Linked DNA regions of Sus scrofa. The protein of the gene in region 4 purifies or fractionates together with the protein of the main gene of each other region. This does not show direct contact. Links are inferred from orthologs where the notes say so. Each region holds a gene or a part of one and is shown on either strand. Other genes may lie near its edges.

Region 1 (4,032 bases), on a different chromosome or scaffold from region 4:
TGGATTAAAATATGTATGCACATGTAGCAATTAGCTAATTCCATGCATGTGGGATTTGTCATAATTTAGAGTATGTATAATTCTTAGAGCATGAAAAGTTAGCTATTATTTCTAGCACTGCAAATACTCAGCATAATACTTTTTATTTACTTTTCATCTTTAAAAATTTTTATTGACTTGTAATTGACTTAACAATGTTGTGTTAATTTTTAGTAAATCTAAAATTAGTAGGTTTCTCAAAAAGTTCAATAAATTAGGAAGTCCATCTAGATGTTATTAATTTGGGGGTCCATCAAGTTAACTTTTATTTACTAGTGTAATACATAGCTATTACTAAAGTGTTATTATGTATAGATTGAATATAAAATATCTATTTTCACTTACCTCAAACCCCTTAATAATACCTTGTTTATGGCTGTTATAATGTAGCTACTGTTACATGGTAGGCTCCCAGGGTGATGTGAGAGTTGCCAGGAGAGGAAAGCTCTCCTTTCTGGTAAGAAGCCCAATAGTGTAGCACGAATCACAGGTTGGAGTCTGGGATTCAGTTTTGCATGTTCATCAACAATACTTTAAATGTCACAGAGTTGATTGATGCTGGGAATGTGGATTCACTCTCAGAACATTCACAAGAGATTGATGCAGAAAACAACATCCTAAATGACTAATTTACAAAGCCAAACAATTGTTCACAGGGATATAATTTGAAAACAGCAAATTCTTTCTGTGCAGAACCTCACGAGAAGCTAAATTATAATCAGAAGTGTGTTGCTACCATGGAATCAAGGCAAGTTGAGTTGGTTGTACAATTCAAACACAACCCAAATGGCCATCTCCCCAGTACAGACTAGAGTATTTGCTCCCTGGAGAGACAGGGGTGTATTTATTTTACAGATCCCTTCACACCTACCCCACTGCCTAGGTAGTACCTGTTCAGGTTTTGTATTTTTCCATGCTTTCTTTGCTGATCAAAACCCTTGATTTGATCTACTTTTAAAAATTACATAAGTAGGGAGTTCCTGTTGTGGTGCAACGGAAACGAATCCAACTAGGAACCATGAGTTGTGGGTTCCATCCCTGACCTTACTCAGTGGGTTAAGGATCCAGCATTGCCGTGACCTGTGGTGCAGGCCGGCAGCTACAGCTCTGATTAGACCCCTAGCCTGGGAACCTCCATATGCTGTGGGCCCTCAAAAAAGAAGACAAAAAAAATTGCATAAGTAAAACGTGTTTCTTTAGCTGTTATTTCTTCAATCAGTTAGTCTAGCATTGATTGCCTAGAGGACATTCGATCGTTTAAGTAAGGTATTTCTCTTTTTTTATTTTACTTTTTGTCTTTTTATCTCTTTAGGGCCGCACCCACGGCACGTGGAGGTTCCCAGGTATATGGAGGTTCTCAGGCTAGGGGTCGAAGAGAAGCTGTAGCCGCCAGTCCTTCGTGGGATTTGAGCCGTGTCTGCGACCTACATCACAGCTCACGCTAACGCTGGATCCTTTACCCACTGAGCGAGGCCAGGGATCGAACCCGTGACCTCATGGATGCTAGTCGGGTTTGTTAACCACTGAGCCACGAAGGGAACTCCAAGAAGTTCTCTTGATTTAAAGCTCAACTTATGGTTATGAGGGTGAAGCAGGGGACCACAACCTAGTGAATTCTTTGGAGGCACCTCTCTTTGGCCAGTGAGTATGGCTCCCCGATTAAAATACAGGATGCCCACTTAAATTCAGAAGGCAAGCAAATTTTCTTTTTTGGAATAAAGTATTTCCCAAATATTGAATGAGGTATAGTTTATACTAGAAAATATATTCATTTTTATCTGAAATCCAAATGTCCTGTACAGGGTGTCCTGTATTTTTATTTGCTAAACTCGGCAAGCCCACCACTACATTAGCATGATGTCAAGAGGCTTGCCAAGATTCATGCTGGTCGGTAAGCACCAATCCTTTCGGTTGTTTCGGGAAACAAAAATCATTCCCACTAAAAAATTGTTTGACAGCAGGTAGCAACGATACACGGAAGAACCTTGACCCTTTGAGGAATCCGTAGTGACGCAACGGGTTTAAATAGTACCTTGATTGATTGCCCCGCCCACTCCATTCTTCTCTTCCTGCTACTAGGATGATTGCTCTAGCTCTTCTTCCTTTTCAAGTCCCGCCCTTCAGTTACCCGCTCTGGATAGGGATCGGTAACCCAAAAAGGGCCGGCAAAAGCGCCGACGTATTTAGAGAAGCGGAAGTAGTCAAATTTCACTAAGAACCTTAAAGTGAGGCTGGCTGTCTGCCTTTCCGGATAACGACAACAGCTCCGACTGTCAATGCCGGCCTTCCTCGTGTAAGGGAACCTGCGGGACCCTTGCTAATTCAGTCCCCCCCGCCCCCGCCCCGTTCTGGGCCCTTCCCTATCGTCGCCCTCTTCACCTTGGATCATGTTCAAGAAGTAAGGACATACTGTGGCCTCCATCGTATGCTCACAAAGGGGGTGGGGGTGGGGAAGAGGGCGAGAGCAAAAATTCCCTTTCTCTCTTCCCAGCCCCAGCCATCCTTACTCCCTAAGGTTTTCTATAGTCCTATGCTCTCAACTCGCAACTTGCAACACTTCTTTAAGCCTTTCATCCAGTCCTCAAATGGGTTTCGGTCCTCCCACCCTCATTTTCTTTCTCCTTACCTCTCTTTTACTTTTTCTCCCAATCCTATCTCCATCCCAAGGATTCTACCAATCACATCCTTGTACTGTGATTTAGGGACATAAGCTCTTTAGCCGAGAGCTGAGCCCTGCACTCACTGCCATGTGGTTATTAGTTATGAACCGAATAAGGGAAGGCTTGACTTCCTGGGTCATGGGAGTGAAGGAGTCTGGGTGACAGGAAGCTAGCGGCCTGTCATGCCTATTGCCTAGCTGCCAGATTAACTTTGTTTTGAAAATACCGTGATTGCCGCATAGGCTATTGAGCGTAAGGAAGACAAAAGTTCTTTGGGAACCTACCTAGTGAGATTGCCTTCCAGTTTTGATAGACGCAAAAAGCACAGGGGGAACGTGGGCAAAGGAAGGTGGTTTTGTGCACGACGTTTTGAGCAAAAATAAATAGGGATCTTAAATACCATCGTCGTCATCACTTTAGAAAAAAATCTCAGCAGATTACAGAGCCTAGGAGGGGCTGATTTTCTGTTATAATTAAGTTGGGCTTTTGTATCTTAACGCTTAAGGGTATTTTCATTTTATTTTGTTTTGCTTTTGATTTTTTTACACGGGTTTTGTTATAGGTGGGAATCAGTTTCTTCCTGGGTAGAGTTGAGTAAGATTTTCCAGGAAAGGCATTTGTGTAGCTGATTACAGACTATGATATGAAATATGCTTCATATCCTTTCCCTCGTCCCTCTGCTAATTGTGTACGTATGACAGTTTATTTAAATATTTTATTAAGACGTTGGTATTGTGCAGGACAGAATAAAAGGGAAATAGTATCTTAAAAACAATTTATTTCATAATTATTTTAGGCATCTAAATACTTGCTTGGAAATAGGTGACTAATTAAAACAATACCTCTAGCTATTCTGATATGTCTTCTTAGAAATGCCTTTTTTTCCTTGCAAAAATCATTTGGCAGATTTGATGAAAAAGAAAATGTGTCCAACTTCATCCAGTTGAAAACCTCAGTTATAAAGGGTATTAAGAATCAATTGATAGAGCAATTTCCAGGTATTGAACCATGGCTTAATCAAATCATGCCTAAGAAAGATCCTGTCAAAATAGTGAGATGGTCAGTCTTTTTTTCTGTGTAAAGCTCAGAGAAGCTGAATATTGTATGATTAGATTTATTGCATGATTAGATTGCCCTATAATGTAATTATTTTCACAACTATCTACTCTAAATGAATAAAACTTATCACTATTTGTATTTTAAAAATTTTTTATGTTTGTGAAAAATGTGGCTTTGTGTACTGATTATTTTGTTAGAGTTAATTAAATGTTTTTATTCAGAGTTGGATTTATTTCAGTTTGTACTTTAGAGATTTGTTTTATTATCTAACAAG
Region 2 (4,052 bases), on a different chromosome or scaffold from region 4:
AAGCAAAACTGTCCATAATGATCATGGTTTCACCATCCACCTTTCCCAGCATCAAGCCCATCACTTCCAAGTTGCCTCCTGATCTGGCATGCATCACCATTTTCAGCAGAGCCAATGCTGAGATTTTGCAGTACTTAAAGTAATGGTGACTACAAAACAAAAGCATGGTGTAATTAACTTTCTTACATAAAGTAGAATTTCAAGACAGTTTTTGTGGAGATTAACAAGCATTGAGGGAATTAACACTGATAGAATGGGGAGGAAGAGTGTAGAATGGAAAGAAGGAGGAAGTAGAAAAGGGAGATGGAAACACATCATAACCTTGCAAGGTATTTCCCACTGGGGAAAGGGAACACTATGAAATAGTGGGCATTTATTTTGGCCACACCCATAGTATGCAGATGTTTCTGGGCCAGGGATTGAACCCAAGGCACAGCAGTGACAATGCTGGATCCTTAATCTGCTGAGCCACCAGAGAACTTCTGAAAAAGTTTTTTAATATGCTATTCTTACATGACCACTTCAGTAGACTTTTTCTCCATTAATTTTGGTATCACCAAATCTTTTTAAATTTAGAGTTGATTTACAAGGTTGTGCCAAATTTTGGTTTCTGACTGGTTGGATGGATTTACCTCATTATTCTCAGGCCCTAACGTTTTGGCCTAACAGTTAAGAATGTGGGCTCTGGAGTTCCTATTGCAGCTCAGTGGTAACAAACTTGACTAATATCTATGAGGATGTGGGTTCGATTTTTGGCCTCGCCCAGTGGGTTAAGGATCTGGCATTGCCATGATGTACTACATATACTGTGGAATGATCACCACAGTAGGTGTGATCGAAGATGTGGCTCAGATCTGGTGTTGCTGAGGCTATGGTGTAGAATGGCAGCTGTAGCTCTGATTCCACCCCTAGCCCAGGAACTTCCGTATGCCATGGGTGTGCCCCCTCCAAAAAAATGTGGGCTCTGACATCCATCTGCCTACCTTTGCATCCTTGCACTACCATGTCCTAGCTGTGACCTTGAGACATTCACTTAATTCTGTGCCTGTTTCCTTATCTATAAATAGGGATATTTCACAGGGCTGTTGCTAGGAGGAAATGAAGTAAATGAAATAATGTATATAAGGTACTTAGCCTAGTGCCTGACACATACTAAAACTTTTTAAATGCTAGCTGTTGTTAGCATTATCAACCTATCTTTTACAGAACTCTCAAAGAAGTCTGTTGAGGGCTGTGGCTTCTTTCTGTGGTATCAGCCTCAAAATGGAAAATGTAGCCTTATCTTTAGTTCTGCTATGATCACTGTTTAAGTTTTTCATCTGTGGTTGTGACTAAACTACTGTTGAATAAAATTACATTTTGGTCTCACTGATGTGGCTCAAGACAGCTAGGTTGTATATAACTAGAGATACAATCACACAGCGAGGCTAATAGTTTCCAAATATTTAATAGGCTCTATCAACCTAAAATGCACAGCCTGCTATAGAAAGAGCAGGTGAGGCAAACCAACTCAGTGCTCAGTCCTTAGTAAGTACTCAATAAACATTGCTGAATCTGAATAATGACAATTAAAGCTTGCCTTGTGGGACAGATGAAGCATGGTTTTTGTTGTTGACCACCGCTTTCCCATCTATCTCTCTGTTAGAGACGGTGCTCTTTTAACTCTATCTCTAACAATATCTGCTCTCAGGAAAGGATAAATGCTGTGGGAAAGAATCCTCGATCTGTCATCACTCTCAGGGACACAGCTGTTTTGCTAAATGGCAAAGAACTCTATTGATTTAATTTGTAGCTTATGTGAACTTGCTAACATTTTGGGAGACTAAGTAGAACCTCGCGGTGTTTCTAAAATAATTACCAGCAATCGAAAAACAATTACAGATCTAAACGATGGCTTTTAATTAAAGACCGTTGGGCTGGCTCAATTTCTGAAGACAGCTACAGTCTCCAGTCTAAGATCTGCTGCAAGTCCCAACAAAGTGTATACCGACACAGGATTCAAGGCAGAGTGTGTAGCATACGTGACGGTATGGGTGTTGAGGAGTAAAAGCCCAAATCACCGCTTGCCGTTTTCCTTTTCCATTCTCCCGAGGCAAACGGGTTAAAGAGACAGAAAGGGGAGTCAAGCGAGCCCCAAAGGAGGGACTTACGCTCAACTTGCGCGGATAAAAAGGCAAAGCAAAAATTCTCAGACGCTTACTCTTCCTCTTCCCTGCACAAGAAAAGACAAGCCCAGTCCCCGCTTCAGCTCCCACCCCTACTGGGTCTCTTAAACTCCCGCCACCCTTCCCTCCCCAGCATTTCGCCAGGGACCTCCTCACTCCTTAGTCCAGGGTTTCGCCGCCAGGATTTCTTGCTGCTGTTTTTTGTCGTATTTGTAGATTTCATCGATACTCTGGGCTTCCTGCATGTTGTTGGCTAATTCCCACGTTTTCTGGGCCATACCACTCCCAGAAGCCGCCATCGCAGAGGATTCGGAGAAGTTGTTGCCCCTACAACCAAGACGCAACTTCAACCTCGCTAGGTTTCCGGGTGTGGGCTTCAGACCCACCCCACCGCAGGTGCAAACTGGTACTAGACTCTCGAGGCAGCCATGACACCTAGAACCGGAGGTGAAGTTGGTACCGACCATTCGAGGATGGCGGGGGTCCTTCCGGAACGCGACGGTGTAAACAGCAGTTACACAATAGTTAGAGACAGAGGAATCTCCTTGTGGATTAAATGAAGACATATTATCTTGGAAAATTATATGTGTGAATTAAGACAAAAACAGCGTTTATGTAAGGAATGGTATAGCCTTCCGCACCGGAAGAAGGGCATGTAACGTTATGCCAGAAAACGAATTGACCTTCCTTGTTCGTACTGCGCAGGCTCGGCCTCCGCCATATTAAAAATAGATCCTTAAACGGGGATGGGAGAAAGAATTGTTTTTATGTAGGTGCAGGTACTTTAAATGCAGTAAGTTTGTTGAAAGACTTAAAAAAAAAAAAGGATGTCTGGAAAAATTGAGATAAATAGTTCTGAATGCTGGCTTTGAGAGAATACATGACATCCTAGTTTACTTTCAGATGAATCACCGCACATGTGTAAAATCCTATGGGCTCGTGGTTGGGCACTAAGCTTCTCTTGGGCGTTCTCTAGCGATCATATGAAGCTGTGGAAACTCGTGGATGGCTACGGTCATGCCTTGGTGTGTTTGTAAAAATTAACATCTCTAGGCGCTATTAATGTCCCGAAAATGTCCAGTACCCAGTTGCTATAATAGTTTACAGTTTAATCTTCTGCATTGCTCTGTGGAACTAACTCTGCTCCGAGACTGAATTAATCTAGGGGGAGTATTGGTTGTCATCCAAGAGTTCAAACGGTATTTAATTATTTCATTATTTGCTTGTTTTAGTTATTCTCCCCCCCCCCCCGCATTAGATTCTAAGTTCCAAAACACAGGGACCAGGTGTGCTCCTTGTTGTATCCTCAATGTCTACCATAGATGTTCAATTTTTTTCCCCCTGGGGGAAAAGGGGAGGGGGGGCATCACAATTCACCTCTCCAGTTTCATCTTTCTTTAGTTACCCTGAAACTTTGCATAAGGTGGCTAGCATTGCCTGAAAAGCTCTCCCCTGACTTTTCGGACTGGGAGTTTAAACTTACATTTAAAAACACAGCTCAGAGCTCTCTGCCACGCAATCCTTCTTAACTTTTCTCTCTCCAGTAATCCTTCTGCCGTGTCTCTAAATGCCTGTAGGTGCTTGCATAACTGTTACAGTGCAAGGAAATAATGTATTTGTTTACCTGGAAGTTTTTCTTTTCACTCTCAGTTTCAGAGTGCAGGGCACTTGGTTCTGAGCTGTATCCTCCACTCCTAGAAAGCTGTGTGACATTTAGTTAAGACAACATTAGTATTATGGAATCCACAACTCCGCCTGTGGTTTTGACATTAAATTCCATTTGAAGAAAATTTATCTTTCAAGCCCTCGTACAAACTAACAAGATAAAGGTCACTTAGTTCCACTGTCCCGGGAATCTAGATATCTCTTTTCTAGTGGTAGCATATG
Region 3 (4,125 bases), on a different chromosome or scaffold from region 4:
TCATGGTTCCTACTCGGATTCATTAACCACTGTGCCATGACGGGAACTCTGTTCTTGTTTGACTTTAAATAAAAACTGATAGTGAAAAATGTTAACTCTGCAAAGCTAAGGCCAAAGTAGACCTGTTCTTAAAGAAAAGGTCTTAGGTCTCAATCAAATGATTGGAAATGAACATATCCTTTAAGTTAAGATAAAAGCATGGATCTGTTTTTTTTTTCCCCCATGATTCCTATCTTAACCAACTTTCTCAATTAACTGAACAACTAATGGTTCCAATCATGTTACACTATATTCAACTGCCAAAGAGATAGCTTGGCTTGGTTGTCAACAGATGCCTCCAACTCAACACGGCCAAAACTACACTTATTTTTCCTTCCCAATCAGTTCTGCTCACGTGTTGCCCAGCTGGAAACCTGGGAATCATTCTTAATTCCTTCCTGTTTGTTCTCCAACCACACAGCCTTATTCACCAAGTCTCCGCAATGTCTCCATATATTCTAAAAACCCACTCTCCCCCTTTCCCTGTCCTGATTACCACGGTTCTAGTTCTGCGAAATAGCATGGCTCAGGGGAAAGACTACAAGCTTCGAATCCACAAAAACATATTTGCGCTCTCCCGTTGCATTTGGAGCCTGTTTAGACAAAACTCCTCAGAGACACAAATCCCAAAGGACATAGGTACGCCGAGCGCCAACACAGAACCCCCTTGCAGTCGAACCACTTGCTTTCCCCGGCTCCTACATCCACCACTGCCTGTCCCCCGTCCCCACACGCCCCTGAATTGAGGGCACGGCCGCCGGGGCTCCCGAGCCCCCAGGGTACACGGTGAGGGCGCCTGCTTCCCGTCTGGCGGCCAAAGGCTCCGGCGCAGCCGGCGAACGGACCCGCCCGGGCCCCAGCCCGCTCCGGGCCGCAGCTCAGGGAAGCGGGAGGTCAACCGGCAGGGGGCCCGATGGTCGGCGAACGTTACCTGCTGCAGGTACTGGTTGAGGGTGATGTGCGCCATGGCCGCGCCTGCAGTGCGGCGGAGCTGCGCGCCCGTCGCCGCCTGCTTGCGTCACTTCCGGGCCGCGGTCCGTCCCGGCCCCGCGCCCCCCGCCCTCCGCGCACCTTGGTTCCGGAGGCAGCCTGTGCGCGGGAACGCGAGCCCCGGGCCGGCATGGCGGCGCGCCCGGGCTGAGGCGGGCTGGGGGCTGCGCTGCGACTCCCCGAACCGCTCGCGAGGCCGCCTCGTCCGCGCCCCAGGTGCCCAGGCCCGCCGGCCGCTCGCCTGCTGCGAGGTTCCACACGGACCGCGGCGGAAGCGGACTGCGGCGCCCGCGAGCTCGGGGCCGGGTCGGGCCGGGTCAGGTCGGGTCGGGGTCCGGCGCGCTCCCGAGGCCTGAGGCGCGCGGTCGGCGTCGGGATCCGGCGGTTGGACCGGGCCGGGCCGGACCGGGGAGCGCAGCCGGGGGAGCGGACAGGCGGGCGCGGGCGGAGGCCCGGGCGGGGCGCTGCGGCCGCGGCCATGGCCGACGAGACCCCCAGGAAGGGCAGCTTCTCGGCGCTCGTCGGGCACACCAACGGCCTCACCAAGCCCGCGTCCCTCGCCGCCGCCGCCGTCACCTCCAAGCCCGGGGGCAGCGGCGGCTCCAAGAAGCTCGTGATCAAGAATTTCCGAGGTGGGTGCGGGGCCGCGGCGGGGCGGGCGGGGGTCGCTTTCCCTCCGCGGCTGTGTCGTCGGGACGGAGGGTTCGGCTGGAGTTAAGTTCGGCCAAGCAGCGCAGGTGTCGTGGTTGGCGAGGCCGAGCCAGAACGAGTGGCAGCCCCTGAAGCGCTGGGTGATGTCGCTTAATTTAATTACTTTCTCCGCTGTCACTGTCGTTATCTGGGAGCAAGCGTCTTCGTCCCACACAGACCTCCCTCCCGACGTTGAGTAATTTAACTCAACTTTAAATCTGGTCGGGGCTTAACTATTCCATGTTTGTTTATTTGTAACGTCTCCTTACTTAGAAGACTACATGTGTGTGTCCTAAGTATCAACACTGCAAGTATTTACCCAGCAAAAGAGAGACATTGTGGTCACATAGTCTCTAAGCCAAGGAAGGTGTAAACACAGTGCTTCCTTTGGGGAAGAGCTACTGCCCGTATTCGTCACCTAGGTGTCTTTGAGTCCTTTTTTGTAGAGTTTTTTTTTAAGGTGTGTGACTCTTGGCATGATGCCCTTCCCCACTCACTGTCTCTGGATTTACAGACAGACCGAAGTTGCCTGATAACTACACTCAGGACACCTGGCACAAGCTTCACGAGGCGGTGAAAGCCATACAGAGTAGTACCTCCATCAGATACAACCTGGAAGAGCTCTACCAGGTAAGACTCCACCTTTGCAAACAGCGGGGCTCCTTAGGATTCTCACCTAATTTCTTCAGGGAGAACGTCCAGGCCTGGGGGCCAGCATCTTGTTTTTCACTTACCGTTTTTTGCAGCTGTCCAAACCACACGGTTGTGCACTTCCACGAAATGTGACACGGGTGCGGATTCCGTGGGCCTCAGTATTGTCTCAGCGAAGGAAATACTAGAAATCCAAGTACAGGCCTCCGGCAGAAACAGTGGGAGTTCTGCGAGAGGACGTCCCCAGGGTCAAGGAGGATTTTCGGGTTTTGGCGCTTGTGGGATTTTTATTTTCTTTTCAGGCTTCAACTGTCTAGAAAGGCATTTAAAGTTAATTCATCACAGGAAAGCCATATGTTTCTGTGAGCCATGCGACTCTGTTTTCCAAATATGCAGCAAATGTTATTAAAATTCCAAGTTACGTTATATATAAAATTCTCATGACAGTTTCACTTGTAGATTTTCCCTGTCTTCATTGTACTTTGTGATTAATTATTGCGGTTAAAATGTGCAAACAGGTTTTGTTTCATTTGATTTAAATTAATGATGTTCTTGTTCTAACATAAGAAAAAATGGTCGAAAGTATGTTTCACGGTTGGATATTCCACTTACAAGCAGACTGGTTTTTCTTTTCTGGTATCTTAAAGACTAACAATTTGTCAGCTGGGCCTAATATCACCCACGTTTTAGGTAATGACAGTACAATTTCTATTAGGAGACTTGGATTTTAAGTTTTTTCTTTTTCTGTAAGTGATTACATTGTAAAATTATGGAAACTATAAAAAATACAAGGAAAACAATTGAAAACCAACAAAATTAGAAACCGTTGTTGTGCAGCGGAAGCAGATCTGACTAGGAACCATGAGGTTGTGGGTTCGACCCCTGGCCTCGCCCAGTGAGTTAAGGATCCGGCGTTGCTGTGAGCTGTGGTGTAGGTTGCAGATACAGCTTGGATCTGGTGTTGCTGTGGTTGTGGTGTAGACCGGCAGCTGCAGCTCTAATTTGACCCCTAGCCTGGAAACTCAAGTATGTCCCACGTGCAGCCCTAAAAAGCAAAAAAAAAAAAAAAAAAAAAAAAAATCACCTATTCTCCCACCACCCAAAGAAAACGTTGACAATTTGAGGGACATATGTCCCTTCTTTGTCACAAGTTTGTGTGAATTTATTGTATTTTTTTTAAACTCTTTGAATTTTATTGTATTTATAGTTGTATAACCATCCTTAGAGTTTTTGGTGTTTTAATCACCTTTAATAAGGTAGAAATATGTAGTTTGTTAAGTTTTAGCAGGTGTACCCCACAGTCTAACCAGCAGCACACTGGGGACCACAGTGGGTGTTTCCATCATCCAGAGTTCCCTGAGGCCCCCTTGAATTCAGCATCTCCCTCACCCCAGTCCCTGACCTCACCGCCCTCCCTCACCCCCGTCCCTGACCTCACCGCCCTCCCTCACCCCCGTCCCTGACCTCACCGCCCTCCCTCACCCCCGTCCCTGACCTCACCGCCCTCCCTCACCCCCGTCCCTGACCTCACCGCCCTCCCTCACCCCCGTCCCTGACCTCACCGCCCTCCCTCACCCCCGTCCCTGACCTCACCGCCCTCCCTCACCCCCGTCCCTGACCTCACCGCCCTCCCTCACCCCCGTCCCTGACCTCACCGCCCTCCCTCACCCCCGTCCCTGACCTCACCGCCCTCCCTCACCCCCGTCCCTGACCTCACCGCCCTCCCTCACCCCCGTCCCTGACCTCACCGCCCTC
Region 4 (3,500 bases):
TGTAGGCCCTGCTAACGAGGCCAGGCACAGAAAGCAAGAGACTAACACGCTGTTGCTACTGAAGGACAGTGAAGCTTCAGGGGTGGCCACCAAATCCTGCCCAGTATAGAAAGGATGAGAAGCCCCCGGTTCACTGTGGACCTTATCAATTGTGTACACAACATACCCAAGGGAAAGTCACTCTGTGATGGTTCTCAGTCAACGTGTGGTGGGCCCCAGCTCTAAAGTCAAATGATGAGCTGACGATGGTCACAGAACAGCCTGGCGTCTGCCAATGGGTAGCCGGTAGGTGTTTGTTAAAACCATAAAACCTATTTTATGGCTCTATGCAGCCAAGCTAGATGAAAACCAATGCTAAGCCACGAATCATCCATGAGACAGCAACCATACCCCTGGCAGCCAGAGAGCTCCCCCCACTCACCAGTATCAGGTTAAATCGGTCACTCGCCAAAGCGGAGGGATCTGAGCTCTGAATCTGGACCTTCTTCCTCTGCATGCAGCTTACTCGCAACTCATGGGCTAAACTGCAGATGAGAAAGAGGAGGGCGGGGGGTAGGGATGCCGTGCCCAGACATCTGTGGAGAAGATGCAGGGGTTCTGCTCTGCCCCACACCCGAAGACCGTCTTCTCTGGTCGGCCCTCTCCTCTCCACATGAAATGTCAGCAATGGAGCTGGGCAAGGCCCCAAAGAATCGCAATTTTAGAACTCTTAGGGAAACTAAGGCAAAGAAATGGGTGGCTCAATTGATCTTTCACTCAAAGAAAGTCAGAACTAGAACTAGAGGGATTTGTTTTGGATCAACAAGTGCAACTGTTGAGACAAAGAGAACAAGCCTGAGAAATGAGACAGCCACCCATCCCACTGCCCCTTTTCCTCCACCGAGGACCCAGTATGTTTCAGGGTGGAGAACAGATCTAACTAGACTTCTGACTCTGCCCTCTCAGAGGGAGGGAAATAGAGGAGAGTCGCATCCCTCCTGCCCCGGCTGATACGGCCTGCAGGTCTGATCTTCTCCCTGAAGGGGGCGCCTTGGTAAGCCACCCTAATTCGAGCTGTTTCTTCACGGGCCCAGGCACACAGGAGGCAGCAGGACGCAGGGGTGAGGCGCTCAGGCCTGGGAGGGAGACAGAGCCCACCCTTTCTAGCTCTGCCTTGAGCAAATCATTCCACTCTGAGTCTGCCTCTTCTGGGACCTGGGGAAGTACCCAGCCATCTCCCAGGGTTTTAGTTCAACTGTACCAGACATCACAAGTCTTTAAAGTTTAGTACACAACCATTTCATGTTCCATTTTTGGTGACAACTCATTAGAAAGGGAAAAGGAGGCAGAAGCCTGATGGGATGAAGTTAAAGGACATTTTACTAAACTAAAGATGATTTATAAGTAACTAAGAGGAAACATCTTGAGAAATTTCTACCGAATTTCTCTGCCTGGATTCCCTCTTCCTGGCCTCCTGCAAGAGCCTCCCCGCCTGGTCCAGAGGAAGGATTCGCCCAGGGCTGACTTTGGCAGCAGAAGGCAGGCTGTGAGTGGAAGCTCCTCCACTGTGAAGACTCCTCACAGAGTAGCTATGTGCTCTAGCCTGACTGGGTTCTTGGACCACAGAAATAGGAAAAAAAAACATTCATGAAGAAAACATAACAATGAGGCATTGTCTTACCGGCAATAACTGGTGACGTTGAGAAAACCCAGCCTGCTTTTTTGTAGCAAGGAAGATGCATTAAATCCCAACCTGGCTATTTTCTAAATTAAAAAGAGTAAAATTCAGTCAAGTTTTATGTTATCAGATAATGGGGTATGTTTATAATTCCACAGGATACAATGAAGAAACATGTACTAAGACTGTAGGAACTATATGCATAAAAATCTGATGGTCTCCTCTGTGAGTCTCCTCTCCTTGGAAAGAGGACAAGCCCATCACAAGAGAGTAGGTGTGAGCTGGGAAGTCTGCTCGGCACCGCTGTCTAGGCCTCCCATCGATTTCTTCCCGAGGAGATGAGGCCGCCGAGTTGCTGAGGGCAGGAATGGCACTGGACACTCAGGTCTGCATCGCGCTTCGCATTCAATCGATGGTGACTGTGGATTTTCCATTCCACTGCCCTCATATCTGCAAAATGTCCTGGCATCTAATCTGCAGAAAGGATCCTCATATTCAAACCACACACCCTGCTTTCCTATTTAAAATATATGGTTACAGAAGCTTTATCAGGCTGCTACTGAGTCGCCTGAGGAAGGACAAGACGTCAGAACTACTGATGAAATCCGGCAAAAAAGAAAAGGGTGGTGGTGGTGGGAGGAGATTTCTTGCCTTTTCTTATTCTCTTACCAGGTTCCTTTGGGGAACTTCAAGACACCACCCTCCCCAAAATGCGCTAAGCTGAGTGTTACAGGGGTGTTTAATTGGCACCTCCTGGTGGCCATGGGTGGACGCTGGCAGGAGTGGAGGGGACGGGCAGCCCCGGGGGGTGTGGCGCCCACCTTTCCCTGCCTGTCCTCTTCCTCTAGCAGCTGCAGCCTTTTGCTCTCCATTTCCTTCTGCCGGATGCTCTCCTTAGTGAGGGGGTTGCAGTTATTATGTCCCGGGAGCAAGCGGAAGTAGCGGTTCTTCTCAGGATCAAAGTAATAACCTGGCAGATCTTTAGTCAAAAAAAAAAAAAATCCAACTTACAAACCATGTGCTGAGCCACCCAGTGAGGAGCCCAGGGGCCTGTCCACCACCCCTCCTAGCCGCCACCGCCGCTCCTTCCTCAGAGGCAGGAGGTGGGCTGGCACTGCCAGTCACCATCCTGGGCCTAGTTCAGTCCCGGGGGGAGCAGCTTTTGCCTCGATCACCATTCCTGACACACCCGGCTCCTCCCTTTAGTGTTTCAATTTGCTTCCAGAAATTTCCTTCAAGCCAGGAATGGACTGATGACACACATGGAGTGTATCCACACAAGTGAAGACACACAGGGCCGAGGAGGAGGGCAGCTGGAAGGGACAGACCAGGGGACGAGGCAGGACGACGAGGAGGTTTCATCTTTCTCCATGGGCAGTCTCCATGGGCAGGGCTGGGGGAGCCCAGTCCAGCGGGCTGCCTTACCTGGCACAGAAGAACTGCCAGCTGAGCTGGATGAGGTGGAGGGGGCCTCGTCATCACTGCGGCTGGACCCCTGTGGGCTCTGCTGTGCCCCTGCGTTGTTCCTGTTGACACACAGCCAGGGTAACTTTTGCCAAGGGCCTGAGTCTCAGTCTTTCTTTGCCTCTGGGTCTTGCAGTTCCATAGCCTTCACCCCTGAACCTCTCACACTGGATTATTTGGGGAGCACTGACCCCTCTTTTCCTTGGTAGCAGTTTACCTACTGCAGACAGACCCAAGTTAGGGCAAGGTTTTGGTTTCTCAACCTTAAGAGGATGCATGTCACAGTAGTTCCCCTTTCATATCTCCTCATTTGAGCATTTGGGGAGGTCTTTTGGAATTTTCCAGATGAAAATGAGAACAGAAATCTTGGCCAATAAGA

Evidence for each region.
Region 1: the proteins of DCAF4 (region 4) and CUL4B purify together in Homo sapiens (affinity purification with mass spectrometry; 9 studies listed by BioGRID and IntAct, counting the BioPlex papers as one, with this or other methods). This does not show direct contact. The link is inferred for Sus scrofa from reciprocal best matches to the Homo sapiens genes DCAF4 and CUL4B.
Region 2: the proteins of DCAF4 (region 4) and COPS5 purify together in Homo sapiens (affinity purification with mass spectrometry; 4 studies listed by BioGRID and IntAct, counting the BioPlex papers as one, with this or other methods). This does not show direct contact. The link is inferred for Sus scrofa from reciprocal best matches to the Homo sapiens genes DCAF4 and COPS5.
Region 3: the proteins of DCAF4 (region 4) and CUL4A purify together in Homo sapiens (affinity purification with mass spectrometry; 8 studies listed by BioGRID and IntAct, counting the BioPlex papers as one, with this or other methods). This does not show direct contact. The link is inferred for Sus scrofa from reciprocal best matches to the Homo sapiens genes DCAF4 and CUL4A.

The regions. Positions count from the first base shown.
Region 1 is NC_010461.5:98,727,783-98,731,814, forward strand, and holds the start of CUL4B (cullin-4B), read right to left. Parts: upstream 2,801-4,032; 5' UTR 2,666-2,800; intron 2,438-2,665; exon of another isoform or gene 2,333-2,437; coding exon of another isoform or gene 2,316-2,332; exon of another isoform or gene 2,076-2,315; intron 1-2,075. Other genes in the region: MCTS1 (malignant T-cell-amplified sequence 1), read left to right, coding at 2,316-2,332.
Region 2 is NC_010446.5:67,739,276-67,743,327, reverse strand, and holds the start of COPS5 (COP9 signalosome complex subunit 5), read right to left. Parts: upstream 2,801-4,052; 5' UTR 2,732-2,800; coding exon 2,322-2,731; intron 150-2,321; coding exon 1-149. UniProt on the Homo sapiens protein: Probable protease subunit of the COP9 signalosome complex (CSN), a complex involved in various cellular and developmental processes.
Region 3 is NC_010453.5:78,555,705-78,559,829, forward strand, and holds the start of CUL4A (cullin-4A), read left to right. Parts: upstream 1-1,325; 5' UTR 1,326-1,507; coding exon 1,508-1,661; intron 1,662-2,233; coding exon 2,234-2,349; intron 2,350-4,125. Other genes in the region: PCID2 (PCI domain-containing protein 2), read right to left, coding at 971-1,006. UniProt on the Homo sapiens protein: Core component of multiple cullin-RING-based E3 ubiquitin-protein ligase complexes which mediate the ubiquitination of target proteins. As a scaffold protein may contribute to catalysis through positioning of the substrate and the ubiquitin-conjugating enzyme.
Region 4 is NC_010449.5:96,302,260-96,305,759, reverse strand, and holds part of DCAF4 (DDB1- and CUL4-associated factor 4), read right to left. Parts: intron 3,184-3,500; coding exon 3,083-3,183; intron 2,637-3,082; coding exon 2,479-2,636; intron 1,744-2,478; coding exon 1,661-1,743; intron 525-1,660; coding exon 422-524; intron 1-421. UniProt on the Homo sapiens protein: May function as a substrate receptor for CUL4-DDB1 E3 ubiquitin-protein ligase complex.